Linked DNA regions of Kluyveromyces lactis. The protein of the gene in region 1 interacts with the protein of each later gene in a biochemical or structural test. Links are inferred from orthologs where the notes say so. Each region holds a gene or a part of one and is shown in the gene's direction. Other genes may lie near its edges. The genes, in order: INO2, SWI1, TAF4, SNF2, TAF1 and STH1.

Evidence for each region.
Region 2: the proteins of INO2 (region 1) and SWI1 form a complex in vitro, tested with the Saccharomyces cerevisiae proteins (2 studies listed by BioGRID). The link is inferred for Kluyveromyces lactis from reciprocal best matches to the Saccharomyces cerevisiae genes INO2 and SWI1.
Region 3: the proteins of INO2 (region 1) and TAF4 form a complex in vitro, tested with the Saccharomyces cerevisiae proteins (2 studies listed by BioGRID). The link is inferred for Kluyveromyces lactis from reciprocal best matches to the Saccharomyces cerevisiae genes INO2 and TAF4.
Region 4: the proteins of INO2 (region 1) and SNF2 form a complex in vitro, tested with the Saccharomyces cerevisiae proteins (2 studies listed by BioGRID). The link is inferred for Kluyveromyces lactis from reciprocal best matches to the Saccharomyces cerevisiae genes INO2 and SNF2.
Region 5: the proteins of INO2 (region 1) and TAF1 form a complex in vitro, tested with the Saccharomyces cerevisiae proteins (2 studies listed by BioGRID). The link is inferred for Kluyveromyces lactis from reciprocal best matches to the Saccharomyces cerevisiae genes INO2 and TAF1.
Region 6: the proteins of INO2 (region 1) and STH1 form a complex in vitro, tested with the Saccharomyces cerevisiae proteins (2 studies listed by BioGRID). The link is inferred for Kluyveromyces lactis from reciprocal best matches to the Saccharomyces cerevisiae genes INO2 and STH1.

What each region holds. Positions count from the first base shown.
Region 1 is NC_006042.1:1,810,475-1,814,536, reverse strand, and holds INO2 (Ino2p), read left to right. Parts: upstream 1-1,650; coding exon 1,651-2,808; downstream 2,809-4,062. Other genes in the region: SCF ubiquitin ligase complex subunit HRT3, read left to right, coding at 26-1,075; serine/threonine protein kinase KIN2, read right to left, coding at 2,960-4,062. UniProt on the Saccharomyces cerevisiae protein: Positive regulatory factor required for depression of the coregulated phospholipid biosynthetic enzymes. Also involved in the expression of ITR1.
Region 2 is NC_006040.1:1,041,373-1,046,787, reverse strand, and holds the start of SWI1 (Swi1p), read left to right. Parts: upstream 1-2,260; coding exon 2,261-5,415. Other genes in the region: snoRNP complex protein NOP56, read right to left, coding at 170-1,711. UniProt on the Saccharomyces cerevisiae protein: Involved in transcriptional activation. Component of the SWI/SNF complex, an ATP-dependent chromatin remodeling complex, which is required for the positive and negative regulation of gene expression of a large number of genes.
Region 3 is NC_006039.1:525,970-529,977, reverse strand, and holds TAF4 (Taf4p), read left to right. Parts: upstream 1-1,661; coding exon 1,662-2,762; downstream 2,763-4,008. Other genes in the region: RCL1 (rRNA-processing endoribonuclease), read right to left, coding at 1-1,072; PLB3 (lysophospholipase), read right to left, coding at 3,288-4,008. UniProt on the Saccharomyces cerevisiae protein: Functions as a component of the DNA-binding general transcription factor complex TFIID. Binding of TFIID to a promoter (with or without TATA element) is the initial step in pre-initiation complex (PIC) formation.
Region 4 is NC_006038.1:740,289-745,601, forward strand, and holds the start of SNF2 (SWI/SNF catalytic subunit SNF2), read left to right. Parts: upstream 1-1,916; coding exon 1,917-5,313. UniProt on the Saccharomyces cerevisiae protein: Involved in transcriptional activation. Catalytic component of the SWI/SNF complex, an ATP-dependent chromatin-remodeling complex, which is required for the positive and negative regulation of gene expression of a large number of genes.
Region 5 is NC_006037.1:879,197-884,567, reverse strand, and holds the start of TAF1 (histone acetyltransferase), read left to right. Parts: upstream 1-2,314; coding exon 2,315-5,371. Other genes in the region: RNH70 (Rnh70p), read left to right, coding at 1-1,101; RTT102 (Rtt102p), read right to left, coding at 1,297-1,758. UniProt on the Saccharomyces cerevisiae protein: Functions as a component of the DNA-binding general transcription factor complex TFIID. Binding of TFIID to a promoter (with or without TATA element) is the initial step in pre-initiation complex (PIC) formation.
Region 6 is NC_006042.1:436,273-441,601, reverse strand, and holds the start of STH1 (RSC chromatin remodeling complex ATPase subunit STH1), read left to right. Parts: upstream 1-1,918; coding exon 1,919-5,329. Other genes in the region: MET18 (Met18p), read left to right, coding at 1-496; RRT14 (Rrt14p), read right to left, coding at 659-1,264. UniProt on the Saccharomyces cerevisiae protein: Catalytic component of the chromatin structure-remodeling complex (RSC), which is involved in transcription regulation and nucleosome positioning. RSC is responsible for the transfer of a histone octamer from a nucleosome core particle to naked DNA.

The sequences.
Region 1 (4,062 bases):
AACGCACGAAAAATAACAACGCGTAATGGAGGAACCGATTGAAGCTATAGCACTATGGGAGTTGGGCTATTCGAAGGAAACTGCCGGTGCTATGACCGACGCGATCAAATATTACCGTAAAGCATTAAGGATGAATCCGGACGTTGAGAAACTATATAGAAAGAAGATGCATGATGAATGGCGGTTAAATGAAGAGATGAAAAAGCTTAAGCTCAATTCTAATGTCAATATTGTTGATGGTTCATCGGAAACTGATCCGGACGGCAGAAAAGAGGAAACTGAAGGACTTTCTCAAACTGAAGACCTTGTTGAACTTCCCTGCTGGATTTTGGATATGCTCCCTGACGATATATTATCCATGATTATAGACATGGTTGTGTTAAGCTCAGCAGACTCGTGGATGAACCTATCTTTGACTTGTAAAAAGTTTAATTTGCTATGCTTCCACGATTCCTCACCGTACCGGACTTTCGCGGAATACATCTATAAGAAGCAAGTATACAACGAAAATGAGATGAGGCTAAACGGTATATCAGATATACAAGCACTAGCAGAAACCGTATGGGGTCAAAATTATAGAAAGATGCTAAAGGAACGGCCGTATATCAAGTTCCATGGAATATATATCAGTGTGGTGAATTATTTGAGGCACGGATCGATCCCGGAAGGATCATCTTCGCTGTTGAACCCAATCCACATGATCACTTATTACAGGTACTTCAGATTCTATCCAGATGGAAGATGCATTAGATTATTGACTACTGACGAACCAAATATAGTGGTACCTGGTTTCTCTTTAGAAAGATGTTCTGAAAGAAAAGACTCAGATATATGTTCGTGGTCCCTGTCATTAGACGACGGCCTTGATCAGTTGACAATCAAGAGGAATAGAAGAAAAGATGGGCTTGAATTTAACGAGATCTTGAAAATCTCAAACAGAGGTCACAAGAAGTTCAGCAAGTTGAAATGGATTGCTTCTTCTGCAACGAGGCAAGACGGCACAACAATGCAGTTCTCATTGAGCAAAGAAAAACCATTTCATTTCTCGAAGGCGAAGTCATACCGTGACTGCTAGATCAGGGCTGTCATATTTGATTACTATAACAGCCAGAGAGCTGTACTTCCATCACGACTAATGAGTGGATACTTGTAGCTCGCGCGATGCTAAGTGATAGACGATATACGAGAAAAGCCCGTTCACGTGATATCTTCTTACACGTGACTTTAAATCCTCTCCATGTGAAAATGTCCAGAGCGTCCGGATTTCAATAGAAACTGACGAAAAGCTCGATTACCGGAAAACATCACAGAGTACATCTTAGTTTATAGTAAGGTCCAACAATGTAATGTGAATGAATTATTGGAGGTGCGTTGCAGAAAAACATATAGCCATTGAGTGATATAAGTTGCTATATCGAGTTATTACAGCGTTGACTATTAGCTGGACTATTAGATCTGCGGAGTTTGATATATGAGTGCATGGAGATTCGAGGTACAAGTATACCTAGATTTGTTGCGTTTGATAGATTTATAAAGTACCCATCTAATTATAAAAGGGTATTTTGGACGCAGGCAAACATTTAGACATTTAACTATTCGCGTGGAGTGTTCAGTAGCAATACAGATCTTAACCGATTTTCTGAAAATACAATGGAAGCTCAAAGCCAAGGTGGCCTCGGTTCTCTGTTGGACATGGATTTGGAAGGTTTAGATTTCGAGACTGCCTATGAGTTAATTAATGAGAAAGCGGAACTATGGGATGATTCAAACGATCAATTTCATATGAATCTTGTAGATGATTCTCAGTTCTTCAACCATATGACTGTTGTTCCAGAGAATGCTTCGACAGGAGGGGATCAGCATACTAATACTGATGAGGAAGTTGACAAAGTAGTCAATAGAGATAGAGCTTTCCAAGAAGAAAAAGACACAAAGCCAGCTGCATCACAAATCACCCATTCTGTTCCTAGTAGCAGACCGCAGACTCCCCGAAACCACATTTCATCACCTTTCGGGGCGTTTGGTGAACACTCTGGAAACTCACATAACGAAGGTTTGTTGAGTGTGAACGAGTCGCATGCAATTGAGCACTTTTTGGATAGTTTATTAACTACCTCACCGTCAAAGGCTTCTAATGCCGCCCTTTTCTCTCCGAAACTGGCTCAAAATTTTATGCGAAATGCGGAACATTTGGGAGCTGATCCTCATACCTATATTTTCGACCATACTGAACTACAAACCACAATATCCAGACATTTCCAGGATAAGTCAACCACTAAGCAGGGAGAAAGGCTGGACACAAAGATTGCCATTGCGGCATCCCCATCTCATGAAGAAAAAAACAATAATGTAAATTCCAAGGATATTCTAAAAAATGACAATGGTAGTAAAGGTAAATCTACTACGATAGAACCCATGATTCTTCCAATATTCGAATCATATGAACAGTACAAGCCAATTGATCCCAAAATTCCTATCGTTGAAGTTCCTGAACACGTCATTCCTGAAGATATCTCAAGCGATGCTGCAGAGCTGCGAAGGTGGAAACATGTCTATTTAGAGAAACAAAGAAGAAACACTTTCAAAAGAGAATACGATGAGTTGATCGGGATGATACGATATCCACGACCAGTTTGGACTGAAGTTCATAAGAATCTGCCGAAATCAAAAGAAATCATCTCCCTTGACTACAAACTCCCGAAGAAGGAAGGGAAAAGAATCACGAAACATACACTGTTAAATTATATCGTCCAGGACATCCAGCTGCTTTTACTGGCGAATGAGGAGCTTGAACAACTTTGTAAATGAGTTTCTTAGAATAGTCGTTTGGTTTCCTCACGTAGTTATTGCATAGAGAAAAATGTAATGACATAATGAGACAAAAGTGGCATGTAACATTATAAACTAGACTTGCATTAGGAAATGATTATGGCATACATAGTGTGTATACAGTTTTAATCTATAAATTTAATTCCTTCAAAATATGTGTAGCCAATTCCTTATACATCCATGTATTACCAGAAACTTTCTTGAAATGGACACCAGCCAAGCCAACAAGCTTGACCTTAACGATATGTATCTCAAACTTCAAAGGTGGCCTTTCTTTATTACCTGCTTCATTCTTATTGCCGATAACAACTTTATTCATATCTTGTGCCTTTGAATTAGTCAATATGTCCTCTTGATTATTCAGAGTTTCGAAGGATGCAGTAGAAACTTCCTCTAGGATTTGCCCAGTACTAGTACGTGGCGAAGTGACAGACAGATTTCGTTCATGCGTTGCAGCAGCCAGAGGTGTGGCTGGGATTCCTGGTTGTTTGAGTGAACCATGTCTTCTAATGGAACCATGACGTGATGGTATTGACAATTGTTTTCTATGGGAGTTTGCTGTTGAGCTGTTTGATTCCAATGAAGAAGTTTCATTAATAACAATAGAAGGATGCCTACCGTGGTTTGGAGGCTGCTCTTGAGATACGTAAGATTGTCTGTGACAGCAGATAAAACCGCCTTTTACTTCTGTAAATTCGATGTTTAACTTTTTCAACGTACTAATAATCTTGTATCTAACGACAGGTAATGGTTTAGAAGATGTTGTTTGGACAGAGAAAAAGCCTTTTAGGAATAAAGAACGTGGGAAGTCGATCGATGGCATTGAACCTGGAGGAGCTTTGGATGCTCTTTCAATAATTTGTTCATCAGTTAGTTCTTCCCAGGGTGATATGTCGTCTATCTGGAGTGCGTTGCCTTCTGAGCTTGATTGCAGGAAGCCATCATCGTTAGTATTAATACGACCTGGTGCAGTTGAACCATCGCTGGAAGTATTGGCAGCAGAAGTTGTTAATACAGGAGGACGATTATACTTTAATGACTCACGACGTGCATGCCCCACAGACTTAGCCCTTGCACTTGGATGGAGTTTCTTTCCTTTAGGCAGAGACAAAAGAGCAAGTGGTTGGTTTTCGTCATATTTAGTGGATTGAGTCTCAGATTCATCATCTAATTCATTATTCAACTTCAAGTCATTCAACCTTTCTTGTTGTTGTTTCACCAATACGTCTGCAT
Region 2 (5,415 bases), on another chromosome or scaffold:
GCGTTAAAGGTGCAATTAAGAGCTTTATAATTATGAGAAACCGGAATGACTTAATAATGTAAAAGTGAAAAGTTAAATGTAAAGTGACGAGTTTAAACTGAAATATGATGAAAAAAAATAATAATAAAGTCGATCAATCTTCGGAAAATGATTGAAAAGTTGACACAACCTAATCCTTATTTTTCTTACTCTTCTTTTCCTTCTTATCCTTCTTCTCTTTCTTCTCTTTCTTTTCCTTCTTTTCCTTCTTTTCCTTCTTGTCCTTCTTGTCCTTCTTGTCCTTCTTAGACTTCTTTTCCTTCTTCTCTTCTTGTTCAGAGTCTTCTTCATCGTTAGATTCTTCTAGCTTTCTCTTCTTGGAGACTTCAGTCGTATCCACTTCTTCTTCGTGAGCTGGCTTATCTTTATTGTACAATTCGATGGCTTCCTTGATAGCAGATTCATTCTTCAAAGTTGGGGTACCAGAAGCATAGAATTCCAATCTTTGTTCAACTTGTTTCTTTAGCACTTGACCGAAAACGTTAGATGGTTCATCGGAGTAATTATCGATTCTAGAAGCCATAGAACATTTGTTAGCCAAATATCTAGAGATTCTACCCTTGTTCTTAGCACTAGCTTTAGCGATGAAACCACTGTGGTAAATCAAACCATACTTTGGTGTGTTACCTTTAGTCTTCAAAGCTCTGAACAATGCCTTTTCAGCACCCAAGATTTGGACAGTAGAGGCAGCTTGCTTAGAAAGATTGGTCAAAGAACCAGAATGAGAGATCAATCTAGCACCGATAACTTCACCGATCAATTCGGACAAGTTTGGAGCCACAGTGTGCATCTTCTCACATAGGTAATCGTATAATTGTTTCCTGTATTCAACAAGGGAGACAACTCTCTTAGCGAAGATGGTAACGTTTTCCATATCAGTTTCAGAAAGATCTTGACCCATAGAGATACGAGCGTTATCGATCACTCTTTCACTGATACCAGCATCGTTATCCAAAATTTCCGATAAATCGTGCAAGGATTCTTCGTTCAAAGATGCCTTATCCTTAATGAATAGAACGAGTTTAGCAAACTTGTAATTGTCTGGGACTAACTTTGCCAACTCTGGGAAATGCCAACCGTACCATTCCTTCACTCTCATGGCAAAAGTGTTGATATCCTTATCCAATTGATCCAAGAGAGCAATGGCTTGAATGATATGGTTATCGTTTTTCTGAACAGAGAACTTAACCTTAGCACGAGAGTAAGCATGACCCAAACCAAGTTGAGCTCTTTCCAAATCACCAGGTTGTAAATCTTTCAATAATTTGTCACCGTGTAATCTAACACCACGAATCAAATCCTGAGCTAACTCATTAGAAATACAATCAACAAATGGAAAAACTTCTTTAATGGATGGACCTAAGTTCTTATCAGAAATAGCCAAAGTAACAGTCTTCTTAGAAGAACCCTTTGGTAAATTTAAATCCAACAAAGCTTTCAAATGTTCAGAGACTAAACCTTCAGAAATATCATTAGCATTTTCCAAAGCTTGAGCAGCACCTTTGAAAGGAGCAAAAGAAACCAACTCAACTAACTTAGTGAAAGAGCCGAAATCATTGATCTGTTGCTGGACTTCCTTCAAACGAGATCCGATATCATCCTGTTGCAATTTCACTTTGAAGATACCATACCCGGTAGGTTCTTCGAACAAAAGATATTCAATAGGAGCCATTATTTAATTCTCTGATCAATAAAGTTTCCTCGCTACCGTAAAATCTCTTTGATCTGGACTCTTCAACACACACTAACTTCGGAATGAATGAACAAAACTCAAGATAATACAGACAAGTATTAATTGAAATATCGCTGTGCACATAACACAATATACAATATATTCACTGGTCAGAAAGCTCATCTCTCTTTATTGGCTTCGAAATGAAAATTTTCCAAACAAAAAAAAAAGAGCGATGAGCTTGAAAAAGAAAAGCAGAATGGGAAATATATTTTACTTACCCGGCCGCGGCCGGGTAAGTTATACACGTGATCGAATGTATTACCCGGATATAGAATAATTGACAAAATCACGTGACCTGGAATTTTCTTGTCTTTCCAAAAACAAAACAACGAAAGGAAACTCGAAATTGTATTCAATGAATTCAATTGACACTTGACTATCACTACTTTCAGAATGAATATAATTCCCTTGTTTTAGGTTTTATTTAGGCGTGATTTCTCTCCCCTGATATCAAGGGTCAAACGGTAACTTTATTGGTACATACGGATGGACGATCAGTTTTTGTTCCCGGACGAGAGTGATCCAATGAATTCTGGCGATGGCCAGCTTTTCGGTCAAGGAGGTTCGAACGGTGATGAGTACCTTTCCTTCCTTGATAACTCAGGCGCACCCAACCAGCAAGGTATACCTGATAGTAATTTAGGGCCGATGGAAGATGTTAACGCAGGCGTAACGCCCCAGGCTATATTGGCTAGAAATTCATTCTCAACTGTCAATTCACCTCCGTCGATGAAGAACGGTGGAGTCTCTATCTCTCCACAATCCATGTTTTCTCCAGCCGCAGGACCAATTCCTATGAATACAGCCAATGTAGCACCGACGCAGTCTCCCGCCGGCACTACTTCTTTACAGCAGATGTTATCGCAGCGTGGAACGCCGCAAAATGTGCCAAGTGGATCCCCTACAATGGCCGATGAGTCTTTAGCTCAGGCGAGTGCTAGTAGACAGAGCCCTCAGTATATGGATAGAGCCGCAATAATTGCTGCGCATCAACAGAGGCAACAGCAACAGCAACAAAAGCTACAGATGTTGCAACAACAGCAGGCATTCAACCAATTACAGCAGCAGAAACTAAGACAACAGCAGCAACAAGCACAGGCTCAAGCGCAGGCACAGGCTCAAGCACAAGCTCAAGCTCAAGCCCAAGCACAAGCACAAGCACAGGCTCAAGCTCAAGCCCAAGCTCAAGCGCACATACAAGCACAAGCGCAAGCACAGGCGAGAATGCAACAACATGCGCCTCAAGTACAGAATCAGTCTAATAACCAAAGAAACGTTCTACAAAATCTAGATCCAGCCATTCAACGGAAAGTCGGTCAGGAATTAAACACCAAACAGTTTGAACTATTTAGAAAATCATTTTTGGAACATTGCAGGAGAAAGAATCAACCCGCAGATATTGCTCAAATGATTAATGGTACCCAGGTCAGTTTCTTCATCTTATACATGTATGTTCAGAAGCTTAACGGAGGAGAAAACGTCACTAAAGCACAACAATGGCACATATTGGCGAAAAAGATGAATATACAAGGACCAAATGCTGGAGAAGAATTGGCAAAGACGTACTACAGATATTTACTACCGTACGAAAAGTACTTGATGACCCCAGAAGGTATTAAAGAAACTCAAACCAATCGTATCATGTTACAGCAATTACTTCAGGACATTATAAGAAACATTAGAACGAATACACCGCAGTTCCAACCGCAGGTGCAAAATCAGTCTTTTATGCAGGGTCAAAACGTAATACAACCGGATTTACAAATGAAGCAACAACAGATTCCTAAGGCTCAAGGCAAAACAAAGAACACCGTCCCAAAACAAGCAAAACCTAAACAGCCTAAGAAGCCAAGAGTGAAGAAGAAGACTAAGAAAGAACTAGAACAGGAAAGAAAACAAATGGAAGAGCTGCAAAAGCGTCAACAACAAGAAGCGGAGCAACAACAGCAGCAGCAAAAGCTCATATTCGAACAACAATTGAAGAAACAACAGGAAATTATTTTGAAACGTCGTGAAGAGCAAATTAAGAAGCTTCCGAAGGTGTATAAGAGAACGATGGCCAGGCATTATAGTCCCACCACAAGAGCCATCACCACGCAAAATGGGTATGATATTTCAAAGATTTCAGCTCTTGGTGAGATGATACATAATTTTAAACCCATCTTCCTCTTTGCGCCGGAGTTTGGTGTCGTCAATATCAATGCAATTGCAATGCAGTTACAAAGTTCTAATAACCCGGAAGTCAATACCGCACTAAACTCATTATTAGTTATTAGCTCCGATAACACTTTATCAATTCCACTCGATAAATGTCGTGAGCTTTTGGATAACCTCTGTATCTTGGCGTGTCAGTTACTGCATAAACTATTGAAGAAGGATTATTCAAGGATATCAGGGTCTTATACTGAATATGATGAACAGCAGTGGATTAATACGCCTCCCAAACATTCGGATTCCTCTGATACTCATATTGATAAAATTTTCAAGGAAAGCGTCAAAAAATCTGGAGAAGATCAATCTGAATATACAGTAAAGGTAGACTCTTTAACTGGTATAGATTTTTCTCAACTTCCGATCACACCGACGGAACCAGAAATAGAAGTCGATGCGACATTACCTGAAGTCTCACTGGAGAAGGACGAAGATGAGAATGATATTGAATACTTACCTGATTTGTTGAAAGACGAAAATCTCGATGAAATCAAAAAGCTACATTTCATTTCATATATGGATTCTCTAACTAAAGTCAAAACGGAAGTCGGATCCATCTTTAGCAAGTGTCACCGTTCTGGAGCAGAGGATCCGCACTTGTTGATTGTTGACCAATTGACAACAATTTCAATGATCTTGAGAAATCTTTCATTTAACGAACAGAATTCACAGGTAATGGCTAATAATTACCACATGGAAAAATATATTGCAGATACTCTTTGGATGGTTTTCATTCATAGAGATGAGTTTATTTTTGAGCGCAGGGTTTTAAACTTCAAGAAGGATTTGATTTTTATTCTATCTAATATTACACATATGTTGAAAATTGAATCAACAGTAACTTGTTTGTTAATCATAATGCTAGCGTTGAGCTTCGCTGATCCGAAAGATCATATTCAAGAGAATAGCGTCTTGACATATGCAGAGTACACCATGAATGTTGAAAAATGTCAGACATACGGTGCGGACGTCTTGGCTAAACTTCTTTCTCTTGGTTACCCAAATAGAGCACATTTTAAGTCAGTATTAACTGGTGTTTTCACTGAAGAAAATGACGATGATGACATATGCCAGCAGGTTTTAGATTTGTATAACGGGGACGAAAAATTCAAGTTGTTTAATGACATTTTCTCTTTTATCATTTCCACCATCCCCTTCCAACAAATCAATAAAATCCCTAATCTGATTGAAGACTCACTTCCATCTATTTTACAAGCTCTGACAGCTGCTGTTTGCATTGTAAAGTTTATCGATGCTCAAGAGGAGCACTGTATTTTCAAAAATCATAACCTCCCATGCAAATGGCTCACAGCAGAAGAAAATATTGGAGTAAGCCTTCGTAGAATTAGCGAGGCTCTTGCTAATATTGCAATGCAAAACACTAATTTGCGAGAGTTCAAGGACGTTTTAAGTATTATCAGTGGTACAGC
Region 3 (4,008 bases), on another chromosome or scaffold:
TTGTGAATCCAATACCCTTGATTGTTGCGATTAGATCCGTAGTGTTATCATCCACTGGCTTCAAGAGTATTTCTGTACCGAAAACTTTCTTGATATCCCGTAAGAGCCATACAAATCTTTCATCTATTTGATCCTTAGTGATTCTGAGTCTTCCGATATCTTCTTTACCGATGATCATGTATAAAATTGTAAGTGGCAACTGGTTTCTTCCAACAACTCCACTTTTGCTTATTTCTTCAAGTAGATGATAGGCTACGGATGCACCAATATCTTCTGGAACATCCCCAGCGTCACCGATAGCTTCAGAAAAGATTCTCCATCCTTGTTTGTTCTCTGCTACGAGCGTTAGACCCCAACCTGGACTTTTACCTGAGTTTTCACCTCTCCATACATCTGCAGTTATATTTACTTCACAACTAGCAGATTTAAGAACTTTTTTCGCACCATCAATCATTCTATTTACAAGGGAGGGACTGACTCTTGTGGAGTATGAAACACCTCTTATACTTGAAATCATTGTTTTATCCAAGGCGTGCATTGTAATCGGTTGTGCAATCAATGAATCCACAACAAGGTGTACTTCACCACCACCTAAAGGAGGTGAACCTCTCTTCAAAGTATGTAATGCACATTCCCTGACGCCAAATTTTTCCATAATCGGCATCAACCCCCATTTTATCGCATCTATTCCAGCATCATTATGTGAAGATGTTATACCACGGAATAGGATTGAGAATTTCTTCTTTGAGAAGGGGGCTAAATACAACATTGGCTCGGCAAAATAGCCCACAGGTTTACTGTTCGGACATTGATGTGTGTATGAACCACCAGTAATTATTCCTGGTCTGAAGATGACGGTGGTACCAGTGTATGAAATTTCTATTGAACTACCATTCGTTACCGCTTCCATCAATCTTAGAAAAGAGACTTCGTAATCTTTTAAACCCGGATTTAGGTCATCAGAACGTATCTTTTCTATCTTTATAGCTTTTCCTGACAATGTAGCCATTACTACTCGTAAACGAAAGTTCCGTGAACCTTCAAAGGTTACGTATCTGGAAGAGGATGACATGTCCAATTTGTCTGTTTGTCTGTCCTACTTCGTGAGGAATAAATTTCCTGATAAATCTCTTTAGAGTTTTTAATACAGAAAGTGACCTTCTATCGGACGCTAATGGAATGGTTGATGGAAGTTAACTGAAACCTTTCGATATTGGTTTTGTGTTGTATGTTCAGTTAGGCGATGAGATGAGATGAGATACGCTTTTGACAAATTTTTTGCAAGGAAAAGAAATGAGCTTCGTTACCCGGATTATGTGATCTTTCAATCTTGAAAAAATCAAAGCCAGCAAACAATAGCATCTAAATGAAGAAAGAGGTAGGAACTAGATAGAACTTTTTAGCATAATGTTTAATACTCGCACGTTTTTTTATCTTTGTTGAAATCATTAAGGTTGTACGTTTTTCGCTGAAACTGGATTTTAATTGATAGGCCGCATTTGGACCTGTTTTTAAAGATTGACTTATTCTTTTCATAGTTTATTTGCCTGCATTTTTGGGACAAGTGCAATAGGTGTCCTCAAGTATCCAATACGATTCTTTTTACCCCCGTGTTTCACCAGAGAAAACTATCACTATTGGTCTAATTAGTATAAAATACGATGGCAAAATCGCCCAAGAGAAAGAATTCTGAACCGGAAGATTTATCTTCAAATAAACGTTCCAAATCATTCGAATTTGGCAAAGTAGAGAACGGGCTGGAACCCAGTGGCTCAGATTTTGGCAGTGATCTGCCTACGCCATTCGATACTATGGTTACAGAACAGCCATTAGCTCTACCTAAAGCATCATCTCCAACTACAAACCTAGCATCTCCGCGAAACTCAAGTACGCCAAATTTGAAGACGACGAGTACGACAAGCAAACAATCACAGAAAGCAGAACAGAAGAAGAATGCCGGGGGTTCAACAGGTAGTACGACTGCCTCAACTACAAAACCACAGCAAAGTGATCCAGACAAGCTTAGTGATGCTTTGTTATCGGCCGGTGTTGATATAAGAGAGGAAGAGGCATTGCTAAGTAGCACAGTTGCTAGAACAAAAGCAACCGGTATTTCAGCAAATAACCAGGTCCCATCTCATCCTCCATTCCTACATCCTAAGAACATTTCAGATTTCATGAAAAGAATTGCATCAGAACAAAACTTTCATCAAGATTTCAATAAAAACACTGATATACTCGGATTAATGTCTACTGCATGTGAACTTTACATGAGGGACGTGATAACGAACTCTTTAATCCTATCCATACATAGACGGAAAGGTGTTAAACTAAACACGGGAAGGAGGAGTGAAGTGAGTCGTTCTTTGAGGGATTTAGCATTAAGACAAAAGACTCAAGAAGAAAGAAGAGTACAGAGAAGAATAGCACTCGGTTTAGAAAAACAAACAACGGATGCTAGGTTAGATACTGAAGAGACTCAATATCGTGCATCAAATGCAACTGCCAATTTGATGATTGCAGGGGGTAACAAAAAAAAATATAGTTGGTTGACCGCTGGATCCAAGTCCAGCTCGACAGACCTAAAAAATCAGGGAAATGTTTCATCTGCTGTTGCAGCAAGGGGTGAAATGGGTATCAAATATAGAGAAGCAAGAGAAGAACCTGGCATCGTTATGAGGGACCTTCTTTTAGCTTTAGAAAATAGGCGAGTAGGAGTTAATAATGTTATCACTAAAGGATATGCTAGAATCAGAGACTAGCATTTCCAGTTACTTTGAGGAATAATATGAGTTTCCGAGATGTTCTGTAGTATGCATACTTATATAATATAAACCTTTCGATAAATAACATAGAGACTCATACTTGCATGCGAGATTACTTTTCCTTTTCTACCTGACATGTCGCATATTTAATATTTAAAGATAGTTTTCATTTTTTAGTATCTAAATACTCAAAATCACGTCAGAGACAAATAAAGTTTAAAAAAAATAGAGTTTATTAAACCATTACTTCACACGACGCTTTAATAAGTACACTAATGATCGACGCAATTCGGTACCATTTATCGTTTGTATCTATTATATTACTTTTTAACGAATCATATCAAGATACTTTTATATACTCCAGTCTTGTCAATGATTTGGTCATTGGTCAAAGGAGATCATCTAGAGAAATTGGAAACGAAGGAGGTACAATGACGAATTCATAAGAACGAATCTGCATGAACATCTGAAAACTCAATGCATATATATTTTTTTGGTTTTAGTTTGATACTCATGGGTAAACTAGAAAGAGATGAAGACACTAGCTAAACCTCCAATCAACAAAGATAGCGTACTTCTTGGGGCCAAAATTCTGGCACTATTTTCTTTATTGCCGGAATCAGATGTTGAGGTGGAACTTGCAGAGGAGGATGTAGTGCTTGAGATAGGGGTGGTGGCATCGACAGTTCCATTCCAGCAGTATTTTTCGAAACAAGCATCACATTCAGATGGAAGTGTATAATTTAGTGATTCTTGTTTCCGTCTCAATATGGCGCATGAGATACACCCCATAAAGTTCTCATCTTTAGTGAGATTTTTCATGGTGACAGCTTCGAAACCGTTTTGGATCATCTTAAACCTTTCGGAAGTGGAGTACGACATTTTAAACGTAGATGTGTTACTGTTGAAGGACTCCCTTGTGTTTGGCATATAAACTACTAAAGGTGGAATTGATTCTAGATCAGTCAAATTTCTTGCATCGCACCCAAAGAAGGTAGGTCTTGTATTTAATCCAAGATTGGTGAAAGTGTTCACATCTGGAACATAAGGGAAGGCAATGCCTTTCCCTTGCAGACCAAATTGACGAGCGTAAGTCTGAGTCAATGAAAATCCGTCAGGCCAAGATTGATCCGTGTCTGCACTGTTATCCAAAGCAAAGATAACATCGATTTCCCGCTCAGTTTGCAGCAATGGTGTCAATGGGATATTTTGCCCATCTTCACCACCATCCACTAAATACAAT
Region 4 (5,313 bases), on another chromosome or scaffold:
ATAGCATTACAGCTTCCCATGCTCTACAAGGGTGAACGATATGACTGAATGCCTGAACGAATGCGTGAATGAGTTGTGTAATCTGAATGTATAACTGAATTTATCTAGAAGCATTTTTTTTTTTTTTAAATTCTTTAAAGGGAAGTAGAAACAAGAATCAAGACAGGCAAGGAAGTAATGGATGGAGATCAATGGGAAACACGGGGCAACAACAAGAGGAAAATTACGAATGCGAACCTCTTCTCGTTTGCCGAAGCCTCTTGACGACGGCACACAAAGGGAAAGAGGCAGCAGGTGTTAAGAGGCACCTCACTTCGCCGTTTCTTTTTACTGCCTACAGAGCGGCTGAAAGAAAAAGGCCCTGCCATGTACATCTCAAAAAGGTGAATTGCGCAAAAGAAGAGCCAAAGCCCAATGATTGACCCAGTGAAGACATAACATTTATAGAGAGTTAAGAATCACAGAATGGGAATGAGGGAAAATACCCGAATTATAATGGGTTAACTAAGTCCTGTTTTAGAACCGTTCCTGGTGGTCGCAAAAGAAAAAAAAAAAAAAAAAAAAGAGAGAGAGAAAGAGAAGCACAACTTAATTTCACCTCGACATCTTATGATATGGTAATTAGGAAAAAAAAGTACTACTGTCGGATTGATAGAGAATAGAACAGAATTGATTACTTAACTAACCAGTTTTGATCCCGTCTAATTCCGCAATCAAATACGGTCATGTATCTTGTCAACGTAAAAAAAAAAAATTGGAATTAGCTTTTGCCAAATGAGTGGGGCAAATAACCTCGTACACATACATAGAACATGAGATTAACACAGAGAAAGGCAGCTTTTCTTTTCAAAGACCATTCTCTAATTTCCAATTTCCCCTTCCTTCTCTTCCATTTCCTATCTGGTACAGCTACATAACATATAACGTAACATAGCAAAAACCCCCCTACCGATGTGTTCAGTTCCGAGAGAGACGGAGAATGAGTATTTAATCTACTCTACTAGTCACACTACTGCCTGCACTAGTGAACGATCAGAAATCAAAAGCCTAGTTGCACAGGGCAACAAATGATGTAGAAATAGAACAGAGAAGTGATAGAATCGGTGGAAAGAAAGAATAAGCAGAAATAAAAAAAAGAGGTATCCACACGTTACTTCCTATGCATCTAAGGCCCGGCACAGAATCAGCATAGCAGCAAGTCATACTTAGTCTTACCTCAGTCTCTAATTCACTCTCTGTGCCTTTCTTGTTTCACTTAATTTCTCACAAGACGAATGGGATGGGGGGGGGGGGGGTCTGTCACTATATCCATTCAATCCATATCAGATTCCACTGTACACTTGCATGTACTGCGCACATCCCTAAAATGTATATCCATATCTATGTATCTTATATACACACATGCAGCACGTCATCTTGTATATTCCGCAGCTATTGTCCAGTTCCATCCCGACATACTCTTAACGCCTCAAACGTATGTCTTAAACTTGCCTTAAAGTGTGCTTTAAACCCATGTTTTAAGCCCCAGTGCCAGTCAAAATTCACACAGAAAGCATGATTACAAAAGCGAATAATTTACACAAAAAAAAAATTTTTTTTTGTGTTACGCTGTAAAACATAAACAAAATAACTTTAGTAAACGGAAACGGAGAAGGGAAATAAACACAGAAAACAACAGAACCGTTGTGCATACAGGCTTTGCGTGTGTTTAAGGTAACTTCCTTCGGTTGGTATTTTACTTTTCGGATAGTCTGCAGTGCCATATCGTCGGCGGCTAAGCAGTACTTTTTCTGTTTTTTGTTTATCCTTTAGCTTCGGCTTGAATTAAGAATTGCTTTGCTCTCTTTGCTAGTGACAAGCGTTTTTATTACTGGTAATAGTATTAGTATTAGTGTTGCGATAGGCCTGTTTTGGCAATGGATTTAGAGTTCAGTCCTCCCAGGAGGGAATATACGCGTGAAGAGATTAATCGTTGCTACCTGCGGTGGCAGCAGCTTCGTAACGAACATGGTGCGAATGTCGAGTCTATGAAGGAGTACCAGTACTATACGGCTGTGTTGAGGATGGCTGCCAGACAACAGCAGCAGCGACAACAACAACAACAACAACAACAGCAGCAGCAGCAATTGCAGAATGCAACAACAGCAGCAGCAGCTAGTTCGGCTTCGCCGAATAACATACCGACTCCGTCTGCTTATACCCCTGGCAGTAATGGTATGGGCCCTGTAGCAGCAACAGCGGTACCACCACCACATATGTCACCACAGGTAGGACCTCAGCCGATCGCGCCGGCTTCTGGTCTAACAGTAGGAGTGAATACGCCAGCTAGCACCAATTCTAATTCTAATTCTAATTCTAATAATAATAATAATAATAATAACGCGTCATCATCACGGTCTTTGTTCACAGATGAACAGTCGCTCTTGTTGAAGGCACAGATCCAATCTCTTAAGATGATGGCTAACCACATGGTCGTACCACCAGAGATTATGATGGTCATTGATCGGTCTTTGACCAATTTACTGGATTTCAAATCCATTCTACTGGCGTTGAGTGCCGATTTACAAGCTCATAATGCTGGCCAGCAGATGCAACCTCCAGTACAACAACAACAACAACAACAACAACAACAGAATAATGTACCGCAGCAGAAGCTTTCGCCTCAGGTACGCCAAGGCGTGAAGAAACCAGTACAGAAGGTTCGTCAACCCAAAAAGGGTAAGGTGGAATCACCAGTAGCAGCAGCTTCGCAACCACTTGTACAAAATAACATGCCTGCTCAACTGGTAAATACCACGGCAAATATAAACCCAGCTTCTCCTATAGTGACGTCAGAACCCACTCCTATGGCAGTTCAGTCCCCAATGGTGGAACCTTCGCGCCCTATTTCTCCTCCTATTCCGGACCAGGACCCCCCAAAACAAGAACCTCCCGCTCTTTTATCCACATACAAGAAGCAACATGAAGATATAGAAAAGTACATCGACGTAGCTTCACCGCATATTATGGTGGATTGTTTCTCGTACCCAGAACAAGGCGGCATTCCAGGCTCCACACCGTTGGTACCACCAATTAGTTATACGGATCTTCTTAACCAACAAAATCTTTCTATCACCCCCAGTCTGTTACCCGTTGGTCTGGATCCAAGGTCTGCTATGGAAACTTACCAAACTCTCATCGCTTTGGATTTAGATACATCACTGGATTTTTGTTTGCAACAACTATTAGAATCAGATTCTCAAGTAAAGGATAAAGGGGAATTGATTATGGACTATAATGCAATGCAGTTACTTCCTTTACAAAAAGCTATTAGAGGTTATGTATTGTCATTTGAATGGTATCAAAGCACACTTCTCACTAATATTCATCCTAACTTTTTATCCAAAAATCGTGGTTTAAACATTCAAGATGCTTTGTTGACTAGAGAATTGTTTAAATCACGAGAATTACAACAGTACGAAAAACAACAACTTGAAAAATCTTCTAAATTGAATTCAATCTTGGACCGTTGTAAATCGATACATGATTTGAGAATAGATAAAAAAGCTCAGCGTGTTAAGTTAGGTCACAGGTTGATAAACTTACACACGAACTTGGAAAAAGAAGAATTGAAAAGAATTGAAAGAAATGCCAAACAACGTTTGCAAGCATTGAAAGCTAACGATGAAGAAGCATATATTAAGTTGTTGGATCAGACAAAGGACACAAGAATTACGCATTTGTTGAAACAGACTAACACTTTCTTGGATTCTTTAACCAAAGCTGTTAAGGATCAACAGTCTTTCACTAAAGATAAGATCGAATCTCACCTTGACACTCAGGAACTTAGCGAAGACAACGTGGGTGATAAAAACGGAGCAGACTCTGATGATGACTTGGAACGTGAGAGAATCGATTATTATGAAGTTGCTCATAGTATCAAGGAAGAAGTGAAACAACAACCATCCATCCTTGTAGGTGGTACTTTGAAAGAATATCAATTGAAAGGTCTACAGTGGATGGTGTCTCTTTTCAATAACCACTTGAACGGTATCTTAGCAGACGAAATGGGTCTAGGTAAAACTATTCAAACAATTTCTCTTTTAACCTACTTGTACGAAGCTAAGGGGGTCCATGGTCCATTTTTAGTTATTGTTCCGTTATCCACTTTGACCAACTGGAATGCAGAGTTTGATAAATGGGCACCTAAGTTGCGGAAGATAGCTTTCAAGGGTCCTCCAATGGAACGTAAACCTAAACAAGCGTTAATCAAAAATCGTGAATTTGATGTAGTGTTAACAACCTTCGAATATATTATCAAAGAGCGTCCATTACTTTCTAAGATAAAATGGGTTCACACAATTATTGATGAGGGTCACAGAATGAAGAACGCTCAATCTAAGCTTTCTTTAACTTTGAACACATATTATCATTCTGATTATCGTTTGATTTTGACTGGTACCCCTTTACAGAATAATTTGCCAGAACTATGGGCCCTTTTAAACTTCGTTTTGCCAAAAATTTTCAATTCTGTGAAATCTTTCGATGAATGGTTCAATACACCGTTTGCAAACACTGGTGGTCAAGACAAGATAGCATTGAGCGAAGAAGAAACTTTATTGGTCATTAGAAGATTACATAAGGTACTCAGACCTTTCTTGCTTCGTCGTTTAAAGAAAGATGTTGAAAAAGATCTTCCTGATAAAGTAGAAAAGGTTTTGAAATGTAAGATGAGTGCATTACAACACAAATTATACCAACAGATGTTGAAGCATCGTAGGCTATTCATTTTTGATGATTCAAGTAACCAGAAGTTCTCTAGTTCTCGTGGGTTTAACAATCAAATCATGCAACTCAGGAAGATTTGTAATCATCCGTTCGTATTCGAAGAAGTGGAAGATCAAATCAATCCAGCAAGGGAAACGAACGATACCATTTGGAGAAGTGCCGGTAAATTCGAACTGCTAGAACGTATTTTACCAAAGTTCAAGGCTACCGGTCATAGAGTTCTAATTTTCTTCCAAATGACGCAAGTTATGGATATCATGGAAGATTTCTTGAGATATCTTGACATGAAATACTTAAGATTAGACGGTCATACTAAATCTGATGATCGTACTGCATTATTAAACACTTTCAATGCCCCAAACTCTGATTATTTCTGTTTCCTTTTATCTACAAGAGCTGGTGGTTTAGGTTTAAATTTGCAAACTGCAGATACCGTTATCATTTTTGATACTGATTGGAATCCTCACCAGGATTTACAGGCCCAAGACAGAGCTCATAGAATCGGTCAAAAGAATGAAGTGCGTATTCTTAGATTAATTACAGACA
Region 5 (5,371 bases), on another chromosome or scaffold:
ACATTGGAAAAATTATACTCGTCCCCTTATTATTCAGAGTGGACGGACACCAAGACTATTGACCGTGATGGCCCTCGAACATTTGCAATAGATTGTGAAATGTGTATGTCAGAAAACGGACATGTTCTAACCCGATGCAGTATTGTAAATTTCGACGGTGATCTCATTTATGATAAATTGGTGAAGCCTGATGTTCCAATTATAGATTATTTGACCAAGTACAGCGGAATAACCGAAGAAAAACTACGCGACGTTACTACTACATTGAAGGATGTACAGGAGGATCTTCTCAATATCATTAGCTCAAAGGATGTATTAATTGGACATTCGTTGCAGTCGGACCTTAACGTTTTAAAGCTAAGACATCCCAATATCGTTGACACGGCAGTTATTTACGAGCACAAAGCAGGTCCTCCATTCAGACCAGCCCTAAGGTATTTGGCCTCGGAATATTTGAATGTTGATATTCAAAAAGATACAGGCTTGGGCCATGATTCTTATGAAGACGCTAAAACATGCATGGAACTGACCAAGCTGAAGATCGTAAACGGATTGACGTTTGGCATTGGTTTTAATACAGAAAACCTTTTCCATAGGCTTTCACGAAATGGAATATCTTCTATGATTTTAAACGATTCAGCTTCAAAGCAAAGCAATGTACTTAAGATTGAAAATCATGAAGTGCATGTTAGATGTAAAGACGACCAGATGGTTGCTGATGAAATATGCGAGCACATCAATGAACATAACCTTTTCGTCGGAAGACTCAGAGAGCTAGAATATGCTCGTGAATTTGCCGCATGCAATAACCGTGACACTGAAGTTCTAACTGAGGAGCTAGCATTGGAAAACATGGGGAAAAGAATTACAAAGATCTATGAAAATCTACCTTCATCAGCTATGCTACTAATCTGTTCAGGTACTGGTGATACAAGAGAATGGATCAAAATAATGAGTGAGTTGAACAAACTTGATAAGGAAGACCGTGCAGTGGAAAAATCCAAACGTGAAGCAGAAATACAGGCTTCGATTAAAACCGCTCGCGATGCCATCTCATTTATGACTATCAAAACCAACAACGTGAATAATGAAAGCCAATAGTTTTATATAGTAATGTCTCAAACGCACACATACGTCCTATGTGGAGAACAAAAGCGGTGATGGTTTTTCCTGCTTGCCCTCCTTTGGATGAAGGACTGTCTTTATCTTATTCGAGAGTGGGCGTCCAGGCCACATTCTGGATTCCATGAATCGTAGTAAAATTACAGTATATAGGTGTAATCGTTATATAATGAATCATTCCATCTTTACGTCGCCTTCTTGGTCTTTTACCTCTGCCGGTGTATCTTCAGCCGGAGTTTCTTCCGCTGGAGTTTCAACCACAGGAGTTTCAACAGCAGCTTCACTCTCGGCTTCTTTCTTAGCATCCGATCCTGAGAACCCAGGAATGTCAGAACCACCAACAGCTCCTCTTATATCGTTAATTGAGAGTGAATCTGGGCCACTTTTCTCCTGGACACGAGCATTTTTCTTAGCTATCTTCGTCCTATCAAATTCATCTAAGTTAAGAACATCTGTATCATCCTCAACTACATCTCTCAAAGGATGATCTTTTTTTACCCATTGCTTGAACTTATATTTTACCTTCTCATCAGTACCATTTTCATTTTGTTTAGCAGTAGTGGACCATTCGTATTCCCAATGCTTTGCATCGGTCGTGAAACCTCCAAGACGATTTGCCCTACTTATCAAAGACATTCTCACTTTCTGTTAAGTATATGGCTCAGTGTGTAAATTTGCTGAAATAATTGGCCGAGTTAGTCGATCTAACACCTAAAAGATTGTCGCATTGTACCTTTAGATCTCTGCTCGCACTGTTAAGCTTTAAGCTCTTGATGTTTGGCTTTAATTTCATGTTGGCAGAATTATCAACAAAAATTGACCTTAAATGGGATAAAATGGTCGATTAATAGGTCAGCGAACCACTTATTGAAACGAAAAGCCAGTAAATGAGATGAGTGCATGCTACACATTGCATATAACCTTGTTAATTCGAGTGAAGTGGCCAATCTGGGCCATGATAGTGGTTTATGTTACATGGATTGCACTGAAATTACGTTACCCGGTCTCTGGATTGATCCCTCAATATCAAAATCTAAACAAAGTTGAAGAGCTGATATGTACATTTCAGTAAAGAGTGCTCGAAGTCATAAAAAGGGTGGTTAAATAGGTTCATTCAACTCTGTGAGCCAATATTTCTGTCAATAACAGAATTCTAATCTGATTCCAGTCATAATACACCCATTTTTGCGAAATGCCTAGGGTTGCTGGAAGCTCAGGAAGCAAGAAACAAGGCAAGGCAAAGAAGGATTTCAGCAATGAAGATGATGCGTATAACGCTCTATTTGGTGGTGAGTTTGGGGCATTAGATATTAGTAATTATACTAGTGGTGGCGGCAATGGTAAGCAAGATGAAACAGAGCATCTGCCGAATGCTATTGATTTTGAAGATGAAGATGAATTGGCAGATGAAGAATTACCGGAGGAAGAAGAGCCATCCCATTCTCCGAACAGGCATAATGAAGGGTCGTTTCAGCGGAGTCTGACTGAAGACGACGAATATATGACTCTGATGGACCATGGTGATGTGATGCATGAAGTTGACGCTGCTGGATTTGAAGTACAAGGTAATAATGCATTGTTCATGGAGAGCACATATCAGTCATTTGGTCCAGAACAACACCAATTTAACGAATATGATGAGCAACACAGGAGGTTAATGGAGGAACAGCGAAGGAAACAAGAGGAACAAAATGCGAAGGAAGAACAGTTATTATTTCAGTCTTATTTCCCTGAGCTAAAGCCGGGTAGAGTCCTAAGAATGACCAAGATAGCTCCAAAACCGTTGGCGAAGTATCAATGGCAAAGGGAGTTATACCTTCGAAACAGAATTTTAAAACCTCTCATACCCATTAAAGTGAAGTTTCAAGTTCAAAAGGATACAAAAAAATTGTTCAAGATGAGGAGTAAAAGCGTAAAGCCTTGGCAAAGTGCTATAAGCGAGTTCTCTGAAGTTCAACGAAGAAATGTTATCAAAGTAGCATACGATGAGATATATAAAGAAGATACTGTAGATGACAAGAAAGATGAGCACGATGAAGTGATACCGGAAGATCTTCTCATTGTAGCTGATGAATGGGATTATGAGAAAATTGTTGACGATAGAGAAAATGAGGAGCCAATGACGAGTAACAAGAGGAATCCGCCAGCAGTTGAGAACACTTTAGAAGAAGATGGGAAAGACTGGGAATGGAACGAAGATGATATCATAAATGGTAAGGTGAGTGCTAAAGAACCGCCAATTGATATGAATGATGAGCGATTACTTATTTTGCCTAATGAGAATAAAATCGAATCGGCACAAAAGGTCGTTAAACCTCTAATACCATATAATGAGAAATCTCTACTAGCAAAGTTCAACATCTCTAACGATGACACTTACAAGATTTTGAAAAAGAACTATCAAAAAAAGATCAGATCTACAATTTCGAATTTGAATATAGAACATTCTCAACCGGCGACGCGCCTACAATCTCCATTCTACAAAGTTGTGTTACCAAAAGATCAGTTGAGACACTTTCATAGAAATCATTTCGGGAAACGGATTCGTCCTGGTACCAACATAGTGTTCAGTAAGATAAAGACCCGTAAGAGAAAGAAGGATAAAGGTAAGGATGTGCACGAAATTTTCCAACATTCTGCGGACTTGACTGTTGGTGACAGTGCTCAAGTGTTCCTGATGGAATACAGTGAACAGCAACCTGTTGCGTTATCTAAATTTGGTATGGCTAACAAGCTTATCAATTATTATAGAAAGACGGGAGAAACAGACAGCTCCAGACCAAAATTACCCGTTGGTGAGACTCATGTATTAGGTGTGCAGGATAAATCACCATTTTGGAATTTTGGTTTCGTCAGTCCAGGAAACATTGTTCCCACTTTATATAACAATATGGTCAGAGCCCCCGTTTTCAAACATGAGGTCTCTAAGACCGATTTCCTTCTGGTGAAAAGTCTTGGTAATGGGTCCGGTAACAGATTCTATTTGCGTCAAATTAATCATCTCTTTGCTGTCGGTCAAACGTTCCCAGTGGTCGAAGTTCCTGGTCCGAATTCTAGAAAGGTTACTGCTATGGGTAAGAACCGTTTGAGGATGGTTGTGTATCGTATTTTGAACAAATCTCCGGAAAACAGACTGTTAGTGAAACAGGTGGCTCGTCATTTCCCAGAACAAAATGATATGCAAAACAGACAAAGATTAAAGGAATTCATGAAGTATCAACGTGAAGGTGATGATCAAGGTTTCTGGAAACTAAAGGAGGGAGAAGTTTTACTGGATAACGAAAACGTGAAGAAAATGGTTACTCCTGAAGATGTTTCACTCGTTGAATCCATGTATTATGGTCAACAGTTCCAGGAAGATATTGATTTCTACAACTTCGATGAAAGAGCTAAGGAGTTGGAGGAGAACTTAATATTTTGGAATGCTACCAAGAATTTCTTGAATGCTACACAGATGAGAGCAATGATTCAAATACATGGACCTGGTGATCCTACTGGTTGTGGTGAAGGTTTTTCGTTTTTGAAAACCTCTATGAAGGGTGGGTTTGTAAAATCCGGTTCAAAGGATCAACCGCAAATTGCTGGTGGTCATAGTTACAATGTCGCGCAACAACAGAAAGCATATGAAGAAGAAATAAGTAGGACGTGGTATAACCAAGCCAAGTCTTTAAGCATTCAAAATCCCTTTGAAGAAATGGATGATCCAGATATCGTTAATGAAAGTAATAAGCATGTTCCCTCGACAAGACCTGACGAGAAAGTGTTACGGATTACTAGAAAGAAGAGAGATTCCAACGGTATCATTCAACGACAAACTGTTATAGTCAGAGACCCTAGGGTCATTCAAGGTTACTTACGTGCGTATGAAAAGAGGCGTGAAGAGGCGGAGCGTAATTTGGGTCTTGATGAATTGATCAACGATAACATAACCATTGTTGGCGGTGAGAACGAAGAGGAAAGGCAATTGAAGCAAAAGAAACTATTGGAAGAACAATTGGCTAAATTGGAAAAATCTAAAGAAAGAAGACAAGCTCGTAAAGCTGCCAGAGAAAAGACTAAAGATGGTAAGGTTTCCAAATCCAAGAACACGACTCGTAGATGTGCAACTTGTGGAGCTATCGGTCATATCAGGACTAATAAATCCTGTCCGATGTATAATGGTGGTGTTGCTGCCAATGCAGCTGCGGCTCAAGGCAGTAATGGCACATCTACTAGTAAAGTTGGCACCGAAAGCTCAACCCCAATTGCT
Region 6 (5,329 bases), about 1.4 Mb from region 1:
TGCACAAAAAATGGTAAACGCCTTCAAATCTTCTGATAATATGACCATTAAATCGAATTATCTTACCGCAGTTTCTTTAGTTTTAAAGAATACTCCATCAAATATCACCATATCGTATATCACGGACTTGTTACCTCTTCTTCTTCAGGCTCTTGAACTAGAGAATATCGAAGTCAGAATATCATCTCTAGAGACACTAAAAAATACTGTGAATCAAATGTCTCAGTTGGTTACTGAACATGTCCATTCGTTAGTTCCGCTGTTACTTAACTTATTGGTCCCATCGAAATATAGTAACGTGAACGTAAGATTTCTGTCATTAGAAATTCTTCAGACTTTAACAACCAGTGTTCCCCTTAACTACTTGATCCCCATGAAGAATGAAATTATATCAAAACTTCAAATTGGTTTAGATGACTCGAAGCGTAGAGTGCGCAAACAATGCATAGACACAAAACAGGCATATTTGGAATTAGGACAGGTACCATTTGAGTAGTTCTACTTCCTTCAAATAATGAATATACTTAATTAATATATATGAACCGACAATGAACACTTGAGTCTACTGAGTATTTGATCATATGCTGAGAGAAAAAAACACACCTTTGTATGAGCCGCAATGAAAACTCCGTACCTGTACGTCTTTGTAAATATGAGCTCAATAATCTTCATCTTCGTCTTCTGATTCCTCCTCATCGCTCGCACCAACTGGAGCCAATCCAGGTGTGAGAGCTTTATATCTGTGGTCTTGTATCGATTGTGGTAGCTTCTCCTTGAACTGTTTCTTCTTTTGTCTCCTAGATTTTACCTTCCTTACCTTCTTTGAATCTTCTGAGTTGGCAAGTATTTGTTTCTGTAAATCTAACAGTTCTTCCTTATCGTCATAATCCCAACTTTTCAGGTTGCGAACATTTTTCTTCACCACTTTATCCAAATAGGATTTCTCATGATCCGTAAGAGAATTATCTACTTGATGCTTTCTTAGTACTTGTAGCTTAGCCTTCTGTTCTATATCCTCTTGGACTTCTTTTCTTCCAGATATCTTCTTTCTCAACATTTTCTTCTCCCTCTTTTTGATCCGGTATACATCCTTTTCTTGTACCTCTACTCTTTTCTTCAAGTTCCTATCTATTAGTTGTGCTTTCGAGCCTTTGTCTCGGCTTGTTTTCTTTCTTTCTGCATTAACCGACGCAGAACCCGGCAGTACGCTTTGCAACAATGCGTTCACAGCGTTGGTAGCATGAGCAGCTGCAAGAGATGACATTATAATCAGAGAATTTTAGTTCTTCAAACCTTGATTGTCAATACAGAAGACACTTTTGTAACAGTTCGAAGCACTGTAACTATCTCAATCGGGGAACTTGATAGTTCACTCTCATCACATCTCATCTAATCTCATCTCATCTCATCCATGGCGTATTATCCAAATTTTCATTTTAGGTCATGAAATATTAAACAAGAAAAGAAACAATGGTGCCCACTTTAATGCGAATATTTTGGCACGTGATCGAAGTTGGTTTATTACCCGGTTCTTGTTGTTGTTACCCGTACTTTGGCCCATGGCAATAGTGAATGTCAAAGAAAAAAGTAAACACGATAAATAAAATTGTGAAAAAGAGGATGAATTTGAAAACAGTTTGATTTTATTCTGAATTTAGTTTTGACACGAGAAAAGGACGAACAGAGGTTTGTTTTCAACACGGCAACGGCGGCTAAAAAAATAGACGCACCGAAAGCGAAACAGTAAAGAATTCTAGGGCAATAGTACCTGTTTGTATCGCGTTAGCTTTGTGACAACTCTGAATTTTTTTAGCAGGACTTCAGTTATTGTTTTACCCCCTTTCAGAATAAAAAAGGTTTAAAGCTCACTAGCGGGAAGAGACCTGGATCACGTTAAGAAGTGTGAAATAAAACAACAATGGATCAAGTCGTCGTAACGAATAACGCGGATACAGCGCCTCCTTATCCGCTTCCTATAGTGAATTCTGAGAATGTTGATAATGGGAATTCCGAAACTGAAAACCAGGACGTTAACGGCAATATCGAAGACAACCATGTTGGTGCTGACAAAGGAAGCAACAACAATTTTCGGAACGACAGTGGTAGTGCTATTGGACAGAACCAGATTGCCGCTGTTCTAGAAGAAATGAAGAAGGTGGAAAGAGTAATCTTGCCACTACCTGAAACGAAAGAACAATTAGAAAATTTGATTTATCGTTACAGATACATTTCTCAATATAGAGATCATAATAAGCTTGAAGTTGAGGCTATTGAACAAATTTTCACCCAAATCTCGGATAAACAGGAAGAGTACAAGGAAAGGCTGCTGAGGTTAAGAGAAAACGCAGCCAAAGATATTCAGTGGGACGAAAAGTTGTTGAAGGAGCAAATGGTAAGCTTACAGCTTTTGAGTAAAGATATAAATATACCGGATGGCCTCTTAGAGGATGATGATGATGAATCAGTAAGTTCCGACAGTTCTGATATCTCGGTACAACTGGAGAAGGTTAAACTTTCTGTTGATTTCGACGAAACAAGTGTGCGCTTAGGCCTTCCCGAAGCTTTAAGCAACTTTCGTCTTAAATCTGGAAATGAAGCCTCGCTTGGAGATTGGGAGGTTGAAAAAATAATCTCCACACTCATTGCGAAAAGAATTAAACAACTTGAAAATCTACCCTCTAATTTGGGAACATATTCTTTAAATGATGCGCTTGATTTTGTAACTAAAGATGATATTCCTACCGGCGCAGACGACTTCAAGTTAAGAGCTTTGGTGGAGCTCAAGTCCTTGAAAATGCTAACGAAACAGAAATCTTTGAGAAAGAGGCTGATTGAAAGTGTTGCAGCTAAATCGCATAATATCATTCCATCTCTCCGTGACTCTCCTTATACTTTAGCAGCTCAAAGATCCATTCATGTTAGACCGAAGACCATCGTTCCACAAACTGCTAGATTAGCAGAAGAACTTGAAAGGCAGGAATTGGTAGAAAGCAGGAGAAGAGAAAGAAACTTACGGTTACAAAGGATCAATAATATTGTATCAAGTATCAACGAAAGATTGGAGAATGATACAACACAACGTGATCGCTGTTATCAAATGGGTAGATCTATCGGAAACTTGCATGGTCATTTGGAGAAAGATGAGCAGAGAAGAATGGAAAGAACTGCCAAGCAACGTTTAGCAGCCTTGAAGTCCAATGATGAAGAAGCATATTTGAAATTGTTAGACCAAACCAAAGATACAAGAATTACACATCTATTGAAACAAACTAATTCTTTCTTGGATTCTCTTGCTCAAGCGGTTAGAGTGCAGCAAAATGAGGTACGCATCAAAAGGGGTGAAGAAATTCCTCCAATCACGGATGAAGAAAGAGAAAAAATTGATTATTACGAGGTTTCCCACAGAATTAAGGAAACAGTAGACAAACAGCCAAGCATATTGGTTGGAGGCACGTTGAAAGAGTATCAACTAAAGGGTTTAGAGTGGATGGTGTCTCTATACAATAATCATCTTAACGGTATTCTCGCAGATGAAATGGGTCTAGGTAAAACAATTCAATCCATCTCGTTGATCAGTTATCTTTATGAAATAAAGAACGAGAGGCAACCATTTTTGGTGATTGTCCCTTTATCCACCATCACGAACTGGACTATAGAATTCGAAAAATGGGCACCTTCTCTAAGAACCATTGTGTACAAAGGGAACCCAAACCAACGTAAGGCTTTGCAACATACAATCAAAATGGGAAATTTCGACGTGGTTCTAACTACTTATGAGTACATTATAAAGGATCGTCCACTGTTGGCCAAACACGATTGGGCTCATATGATTATCGATGAAGGTCATAGAATGAAAAACGCTCAATCAAAACTATCTTACACGTTGACACATTACTACAAAACAAAAAATAGGCTAATTTTAACGGGTACTCCATTGCAAAATAATCTACCAGAATTGTGGGCTCTATTAAATTTTGTTTTACCTAAGATCTTTAATTCCTCAAAAACATTTGACGAATGGTTTAATACACCATTCGCGAACACAGGTACTCAAGAAAAGCTAGAAATGACAGAAGAAGAAACGCTTCTAGTTATTAGAAGATTGCACAAAGTTTTACGTCCATTTTTGTTACGTCGTTTGAAGAAGGAAGTCGAAAAAGATTTACCTGACAAAGTTGAGAAGGTTGTGAAATGTAAGCTATCAAGTCTCCAGCAGCAACTATACGAACAAATGTTAAAACATAATGCTTTCTTTATTGGTGCAGGAACAGAAGGTGCAACCAAGGCTGGTATCAAAGGTTTGAACAACAAGGTCATGCAGTTAAGGAAGATATGTAATCATCCATTCGTTTTCGATGAGGTTGAAAATGTTATCAACCCAACGAGAGAGAACAGCTCCATTTTGTATCGTGTTAGTGGTAAATTTGAACTTCTAGACCGAGTTCTTCCAAAATTTAAAGCGTCAGGTCATAGAGTATTGATGTTTTTCCAGATGACTCAAGTTATGGATATCATGGAAGATTTCTTAAGGATGCGAGACCTTAAATATATGAGATTGGATGGTGGTACCAAAGCAGAGGATAGAACTGGAATGTTAAAACTGTTTAATGCACCCGATTCTGAGTACTTCTGCTTTTTACTTTCTACCAGAGCTGGTGGGTTAGGTCTAAATTTGCAGACTGCTGATACGGTCATTATTTTCGATACTGATTGGAATCCTCATCAGGATTTACAAGCCCAAGATAGAGCTCACAGAATTGGGCAGAAGAACGAAGTTCGTATTTTGAGATTAATAACAACCGATTCCGTCGAAGAAGTTATTCTAGAGAGAGCAATGCAAAAATTGGATATTGATGGTAAAGTTATTCAAGCCGGTAAATTTGACAATAAATCTACTGCTGAAGAACAAGAAGAATTTTTGCGTAGATTATTGGAAGGTGATACTAACAAAGACGATGAATATTCTGGTGAATTAGACGACGAAGAATTAAATGAAATTCTCGCACGTACTGAAGACGAGAAAGTGCTGTTCAAAAAGATTGATGAAGAACGTGTAGCTAATGAGAAGAGAGAAGCCATCGATTTAGGTTTGAGAAAGCCACTGCCGAGGTTGATCACCAAGGAAGAGTTACCTTCAGTATTCACTGAAGATATCACTGACCATTTGAATGTTGAGCCTGCTGCTATTGGCAGAATCAGAGAAAGAAAGAGAGTCTATTACGATGATGGTTTAACAGAGGAACAATGGTTACAAGCTGTCGATAATGATGAGGACTTAGATGAAACCATTGAACGTCAAAGAGCTGCTCGTGAAAAACGTCAAAGAAAA